2 linked regions of the Drosophila melanogaster genome follow. The protein of the gene in region 2 interacts with the protein of the main gene of each other region in a pairwise test. Each region holds a gene or a part of one and is shown on either strand. Other genes may lie near its edges.

Region 1 (3,844 bases), on a different chromosome or scaffold from region 2:
TAATTTGTATGTTTATTCCCCGCATCCAAGGGAAAAACTATAAAATCCAACTGATTACAGAATCTTTGCAACATTGTAGGGAAGCTCCATTTATAATTCCTGATTGCTTTTTACAATATTTCATTTGTAATTTGATTAGGAAAGCTTTAGCAACATTTTGAGCAACTTATGGCTTTTTAAATTACTTTTCTATAAGGAATACCCAAAAGTATGCCTTGAATATAAAACAGTTGATTCATTGAAAGTAAACTGAAAAAAAAAAAAATTGAAAACCATAAATACATTTAATCAGAATGAGGCGAACTAAGCCATTTATAACTGTATAGATTAAAGATTTGTCAAAACCTCATTAGTTATTAACTACAAATTCAGTAGCCAAATTTTCACATATAATTTTGAAAACCCGGATCAAGAATCAGTCTATTGGGAATTTTGAAAATTTTCGACCCGGCAACACCACACATACAAAATTCTATACATTTGAACACGTGTGGGTTTTCTTATCACTGAGACTATTCAATCTGTCTCATTTTCTGTTTTGAGCTAACAAATATATATATATATATATGTATATTCTGTATATTTGTTTAATCTGTTGTGCATTGCTGACTCATAAACTCACGCCTGCACATACAAATTTACCAATAGTAACTAATTACTAAGTATATTCTGCAGTACTCTTTTTTTGAACATCAGTTTTAAATATATTATAGGTAAAATATAAGGAGTGTGCTTCGGTGATTCCTGTCTATTCTAATTAAAAATAGACTCAATTTCAAATTCAGTTGAAAGTAGCAAATCAACAATATATGTTAATATTGTGAATGGCAAACCTATAGAAATCTAAAATTCTACCCACCCACCCAAAATAAAAATATAATTTTTCGTTCGTTTTCCTGTTCGTGTGCTTGATTTTCGTGCACTTGCAGGTCTGAAATCTGGGACATTGGCCAGATTTTATTAATTTCCAAGGCGATCAAGTCATGTACAGCATTTAAATCGTCAACCAAGATTAGAACCGAGTCCATCGGGGACGCAGCCCACCGCCACGGTGCTACTCATAAAACGAAGGTGTCGTAATAGTCGACATCGTGACCGGAGACAAAGGATATCTCCTCCAGAATGTTGATCAGCTTGAGTGTGGCCTGGCAGGGCTTGATTCTCGGCAGCTGGAGCAACTGCTTCGTGGCTATCAGATCAGCGGGAGTGATCCGATTGCCGTTCACATCGCACTGTCCCTCGTGGGTGTCCATCAGACCGGGCGAGAAGCTGAGCACATGGACACCGAAACGATACTCCTCGGCGGCCATGGCGCGGAAGTACATATCCCTGGCCCGTTTGCACGAGCAAAGCAGACCAGCATGGACCAATGGACGTACCATCAGCGATGAGGTCACATTCACCGCCAGCTTCTCCACTCGCTCCAAGTGCTTCGATTGCAGCCACGTCTGATTGAGCGCCACCGGAGCATAGAGCTGCTGCTGGACATAGGCCTTCCAATCGTCGTCGCTCTGGGGTTCCAGGAGCATATGCGTGGCCGCCTTTCCCTCGTTGTGAAGGATTATGGAACGCTCGAAGCGTTGATTGTCCTTATCCGCCATGAAATTATCCATCAATGCCTGTTCCATTAGCTGCACACCATTCGAGTGATCTTTGTCCAACTTTCCGATTGTCACCTTAACGTTCTCCGTCTTCAGTTCGCTCCGGAGATGATTCTCCAGCTCCCGAAGCTGCTCCTGATCCTCATCCAAGATCAAAGCAAGGGATCCAGTGGCCAGGCGACGGCAGAACTCCAGCGCCAGGGATTGACCCAAAGGATTTGAGCTGCCGCTCAACACCAAAAAGGTGCGTCTATTTAAATCCATTCTCTTTGCTGCCATTATTTTGATTTAAAGGATTTCGGGTACTTGAGGATTTCGGGAACTGAAGAATCTTCCACTTGTTTTCACTTGAAGCTGTACGACTGTACTGATGCCTTATTTCCTCCGGGCTTTGCCAACTGGACTCTGTTTTCGACTGATAAGCTTTATTCCGATTTCGATTGGCCAACTATATGTGCATATATATGTATTGTATATATATTTATGCTCGACTGAGCAACTCAGGTTCCGATTCCGTATGGAGAAGCGCTCTGGACTGGTGGGGATGTCAGCTTGGGGCTTTTATACAACCCAATCGACTGATAAGCCGGGGTTCAGGCGTCTGGTCTTGTTGCCGTGCCATTAACCATTTGTAATGTTTGGGATTTTGGCACCGTAATCCGGACCCATGGCGCATCATTTAACCTCTGGAATCTGATGGAGTGGTGCGCCAATATTACGCATCGGGGGCCTGGTCCTGGTAAATAGACATAGTTTAGATAATGTCCTAACAAACAAATTGCTCTATATGCTTTAACATAGATTATACTTTTCATTTCATTTTATACTTTCATATTAGAATAAGCTAATTTTTTCAAGCCCCTTTTGGCTTTGCCACTGTTTCCCATGAGCCAAAAACCTGATCGATTGTCATCTTGAAGTTCATCGAGTTCCTTTGATATGGCGCTAAGTCAAGGTTGTCTTTTTAGTGCAAGAGATTAACCAAAGAATTTTGTAAACAAATCAGTTGGCAACAATTAATAGTGTAGCACAGATGGGGACAATATTATGTGGAAAGTAGAATAGTACATTTTATAGTTTTGTCTAAGCAAAGTCCCTTCTTTTTTTTGCAAAACAAATTAAATAAATTTCCATTCATATAGTTTTTTCCCATTAAAACTGCTTTCCTATTTTAAGTATATATGTTTATTTTCCGAATCACATAACAGGTTATCGCATTCAGTCGTTGAACTTTCGTAGACGAATAAAATGCAAATGGTTTTTGCAATTACATAATACATATAATATATGCCTGTGAATTACATGGGTAGTGTAACACGTGTGAATTTAATGAACTCTCTCGTTACTAAACATCCGTTAAATCGCATGTTTAAAGATAACGTAAGGTACATATATATTAATGTGTCATATAGGGGTTTTTTTTTTTTTGCCTAGAAATGTGATTTTTCCATATTTCTATAGACATTATCGATCGGAAGGGAAGTGCTTTAAAATCTATATTCAAGATCTATCGATAGACGGCAGTGTTTCCAGAATTTGCTGTTTTGACTATATTTTCGCCAATAACAAGCTCGAATTAGGTTAATGGCCTTATTATATTCCGGTGGAGTCTGCTGCCGATTCCCGGATTCTCGTTTCGAGATGACGCTGACCCATTTAGAAATCGGGAACGGAACGCAGTTCTAATCGTAGTATAACCAAATAAGCTCACATTTGATGGAGGGAATAGCTATGCAAAATAGAGTATACAGATTATCTAAGTCGCACTACTTCCCTTTTCTTATAATATATAATTACATATTAATATATTCATATATTGCAACATAACTGCAAATCCAAGATCAAAAATAAACCTCTATGCACCTATGAATGCCAAAATCTTGATAACTTTGCTGTTTTGCTTGTTGGATAATGACCAGTCTTGAATGGCTGGAACATCTTGGTTGGTGTACCCCTACTTCATTGTTAGCCACTCACATGGTATCGTCCAAAGTTCTTGGAATTCACCAGTGGACAGTGGCAGTGGGTAATAGCATCACATCTGTCTGTTTATGTTGATTTAGGGGTATTATCAAAAGTGCGCGGGGCTTTCAAGCCGAAGCACGTAGCATCGCAGCTTTAGTGGGCAGGCGTGGACCTAATGGAAAGCATATTTGGAACACAGGCTATACCTGAACCTGACCCTGTCCTCCGTTCAATGTCGTTCAGCGGGAAAGTGACCCCTAGAAGATTTCATTTAGCTG
Region 2 (4,152 bases):
TACAAATGTGGTCTGCCTGCCCACAGAGAGTCCCAGCTTTGGGATTATCTATTAGGAAGTGACAAAAACATTATTTATACATAAACGATGTCGACTTTGGACATGAGATGGATTGCTTTTCGGTTTTTTTTTTTCAAGGTCTACGCATCCGTAAATTATGCTACGAGTCAAGTCAACAAATTTATTAAACTAGAACTGGTGGCAATTAAAGTTCCAGTTCATTTGCATGATTGATTTCTAGGCAAATTATAAGAAACTGATACTTAAGATATATTTGATGGATGACAATTTTGGGCTTTTATCGCTTACTGCCTTTTAAATAGATGATTTGTGTGACTTAGAACTATTAGCGAAAAGTATGACAGATCTACTGACTTTCATAGTAACATTACCGTAAGTTGTGAGATCCAAAATTGTTTACGCATGAATTCCCAGCTACGAAATACACATCTCAAATGCTCCTTTTACATACATGAAGATATTTATGGGCCTAACAATCCACCAGCCAGGTATTTTTATAAACCCAAGTCTACTACATATAAAAGTTGTAAGCAAGTAAACAATAGAGAGTCCACAAAATGTTGGTTTTATTGGATTGAGTAAGTGATTTAGTCATATAGCTTGGAAGTACAGGGTCTTGGGGACTTCGAATCCATTGAATGCACTGGCAATGGGCATGGTGTAGGCGCCCATGTTTCGGAATCCCAAAAGATCGCCTCGGTTTAGGTTGGGCAAGTGCAGGTCCTCCGAAATCTGAAGAAGAAATAAAACATTACTTGGTATTGCTAAGTTTCAAGCAACATTTGACTTACCTTATCTAGGGCGTCACAACTTGGCCCCCAAATCAAGGACTTTAGGTGTGGCAAAGATTCTGCATTGTCCTGTGGGAAAATGAAGTGAATTGGGTCTTAAAAACATGTAGAGGTCTGAGCTATTCAAGGGGAACCCCTCTTCTTTTTAACAATGTTCAATGACAACTAAAATAATGCATATGATAATGGACAATCTTACCAGATAATGCTCTGCAATCACCACTTGATGGTCGTACAGAATGCAGTTGAAGGACCCATAGACGCCGTCATTCAGATAGTACATTACGGTGTCCAGTTTGCCAGCTTCGTTCCTGATCTCCCGCTTGGCGTGGATCTTGCAAACCAAGGTGCAGGCTGCCGCCACAAAGAAGCGTCCTGGTTCGGCGATTATGTGAACGCGTTCGTCGGGAAAATGACGCTGCACCGAGGTATTCACACTTTCGGCTATCTGTAAAAAGTTTCCTCTGAGCAATTGCTTCAAAATCCTCTGCTTACTGCATTACACCTTCTCAAACTTTACGTCATCGCTGCCAGGGAACCCACCGCCAATGTCCAGAAAGTCCATGTCATAGCCCAGTAGTGCGCCGAACTTGAAGAGGTTCTTGGCCTTCTTGATGGCCCGATCGTAGGCCTGCAGCTCGCTGCATCCGGAGCCGACGTGGAAACTGGTGCCGGTCACCTTCAGCTCCAAGGATTTGGCCAGCAGCATTAGGGCCGCTGCATCCACATCCGCATCACAGCCAAATTTGTCGCCCAGTGGGCACTGTGCCTCCTTGGCCTCGCTCTTGAATCTCACGATCAGGCTGGATAACAACGTATAGATATACTAATGATCGCATCCGACGGTAGTGCACCTACTTGGAGTTGGGATAGTGCGTGTGCAGCTTGTATACCTCGAACTCATTGTCCACCGTTCCGTTGGACACCTGGTGCTCCTTGGCGTACTCCAGATGGCTGACAGGGCGGCAGGGATTGGCGAAGATGATACGCTCCGGCGAGACATCGAAGCCCAAGACCTTTGAATTGAATTCATGAAAAGAATAATAAAGTTATTAAATTATACGAAATTCCGACAAGTAATCAAATACCAATGTCTGGGCTCTAGAACAACACGTGTTAATCGCTTGAAAAATGAAAACCTACATTCAGAAATTGATAAGGCCCAGAATTACGTTCCATTACTTGGAACATGACTATATAGTACTTTGTACTAAAGTATTTATAAAAACATATTAGTGTGGCACCAAAAACTATGAGATGCACTACCAGGACTTAAGGCACTTGTATATGTAGTAACTATTCCCAACCCACCAGCTTGACTTCGTTTTTGGAGGCGCAGTCGAATCCGGCTCCCAGCTGGGCCAGCAGCCTGACCACCATTGGATCGTCATTGCACTTGACGGCGTAGAAGGGCTTGATCCTGGGCAGGAGCTTCTGCCAGAGGCGCAGCTTACGCTCCACGCTAGACAGGTCGCAGATGTTGAGGGCCTGGTCCAGGCGCTGCAGGTCGCACTCCTCGATCACCCGGCGGATGTTGAGCTCGCGTTCGTAGAACTGGATTTCAGGGGTAGCGGCCGCCATCTCGGAAAGATCTCAACTGAGTGAGTGAGTGGGGCGCTCGAGACGCGGCTAATCCCATACTAGAGGTGTTATCAGTCAACGACTTGTGCTCGAATCGCAACAGACTTGCGAAACATTTGGAAACACGCTCCGTAAACGTTCCTCGCTCGGCGGGAAACAATGAGGCTCTAATTAGCGGCAAAGGTCAAGCGATTGGCCGTTACCCTCCCCTCCTCACTCCTATCCAGCCCAGTGATATTTGCCAGAATGCATTATTTACAACCAACAATATTTGGCATCGTAAATAATTTTAATGCCTGCGCGCGGCTGCACGGGCATGTAAAAGTAATAAAATGTAAATTTCGAACGCCAACTGTGTGTCAACCGAGTGGCCATCGAGTCGCGCATAATCGACACTTGCCCCGCGGACACGGGGCACTTCAAATCGGAATGGCATCAAACCCAAACCCCTAGACACCCCTAGCAAATTCCACGGCAATGACAATGGTAATAATAATAGCAATAGAAGTGGAAAGGAGGGTTGTTGTGGTCTGTGGCACGGCCAATTTAGCAACCCTCGACTGGGTCCGAACGGCAATTAAAAATTAAAATCTAACTTTCGTAATCGATATTGGCAATTGCAGTTGCCGACTTGCCGGCTTGCCGGATTGTCCTATCAATCAACCTTTAATTGGCCAAACCCATCAATATTTTTTTCCGCACACCCTTTGGCCTTCGGCGAAGATGTTGCCGGCGAAAGGAGTTAGGATCCCCAGAATGATAACTGTCAGAAAGCGCGGACAAAAGTATTGACTATTGAGCGATGGCCGCGAAACGTATATCTTGTCATGCTCAAAAATCGAGGCGAGCCGCTTTCATCCGAATCATTGCGATTCGATTGCAATTTGCTGCGAGTGTCATCATTCACTCGAATTCAGTTTTCCAGCTCCGATGCGATTTCAAAACTAACCCGAACCGCAGCGAGCACTCCCCACTTTGAGTGATGTGTCAAATCGACGACAGGCCGAAAAGTGCTCACAAAAAAATTCGAAATCTAAATCGGAATGGGAATTGGAATGCCAGGCACTCGAGCCATGTTGAATTGTAAAACTGGTTTCGCCTTTTTTAACACCTAAATGCGTTTAAATCATTCGCCCAAATTGCCGGAAATTTACATGCGAATGTCATTAGTTCAGTCGTCAGTCCCAGCCCTTCCCATGCCAATTGATTTGCTTTCTAAATCCATTGCAACTACGCTAGTCGATGGGAAAGTCAAATGAGAAACATAAGTAAATAGTTTATATTTCGAAAAACTATTGTACTTAAGTATTCGCTCCCTGAAAGTATCAAATTTCAGCAAATGCGAGGAAGAATCGGGGTCACCAAACTCAAATCGTCTGCGCAACACAAGTTTATTACACACATTTTCATGAGTCTGTAGATAAGCAAGCACATCAAAACACTCCTTTTTATAAGAGAACTTTAAAACGATTTCTTTACTCAAGTTCATCGACGTAGTTAAACATTTAATAATATTGTAGCTTAAATGAATATACTTTACTAGGCGATAACCCTGTTGTTTTGACAAATTTCAATATTTATTCTTATTCTTGAAATCTAGCACTAATCGGTGATCAATCTTATAAGCATTTTATAAGGTGATTAAAATTGAACCCAGAGAATGTCCCAAAAAATCTCATAAGCATTTTATAAGGTGATTAAAATTAAACCCAGAGAATGTCCCAAAAAATAGGCCCCGAAAACCTGAAAAGAATCTTGT

What was found. Proteins that work in one complex are often made in the same cells at the same time.
Region 1: the proteins of Odc1 (region 2) and CG12116 interact in a two-hybrid assay, tested with the Drosophila melanogaster proteins (one large-scale study listed by BioGRID).

The regions. Positions count from the first base shown.
Region 1 is NC_004354.4:8,466,875-8,470,718, forward strand, and holds CG12116 (uncharacterized protein), read right to left. Parts: upstream 2,139-3,844; 5' UTR 1,881-2,138; coding exon 1,059-1,880; 3' UTR 569-1,058; downstream 1-568.
Region 2 is NT_033778.4:8,003,092-8,007,243, reverse strand, and holds Odc1 (ornithine decarboxylase 1), read right to left. Parts: upstream 2,421-4,152; 5' UTR 2,394-2,420; coding exon 2,124-2,393; intron 1,829-2,123; coding exon 1,671-1,828; intron 1,616-1,670; coding exon 1,318-1,615; intron 1,261-1,317; coding exon 1,012-1,260; intron 882-1,011; coding exon 813-881; intron 754-812; coding exon 613-753; 3' UTR 572-612; downstream 1-571.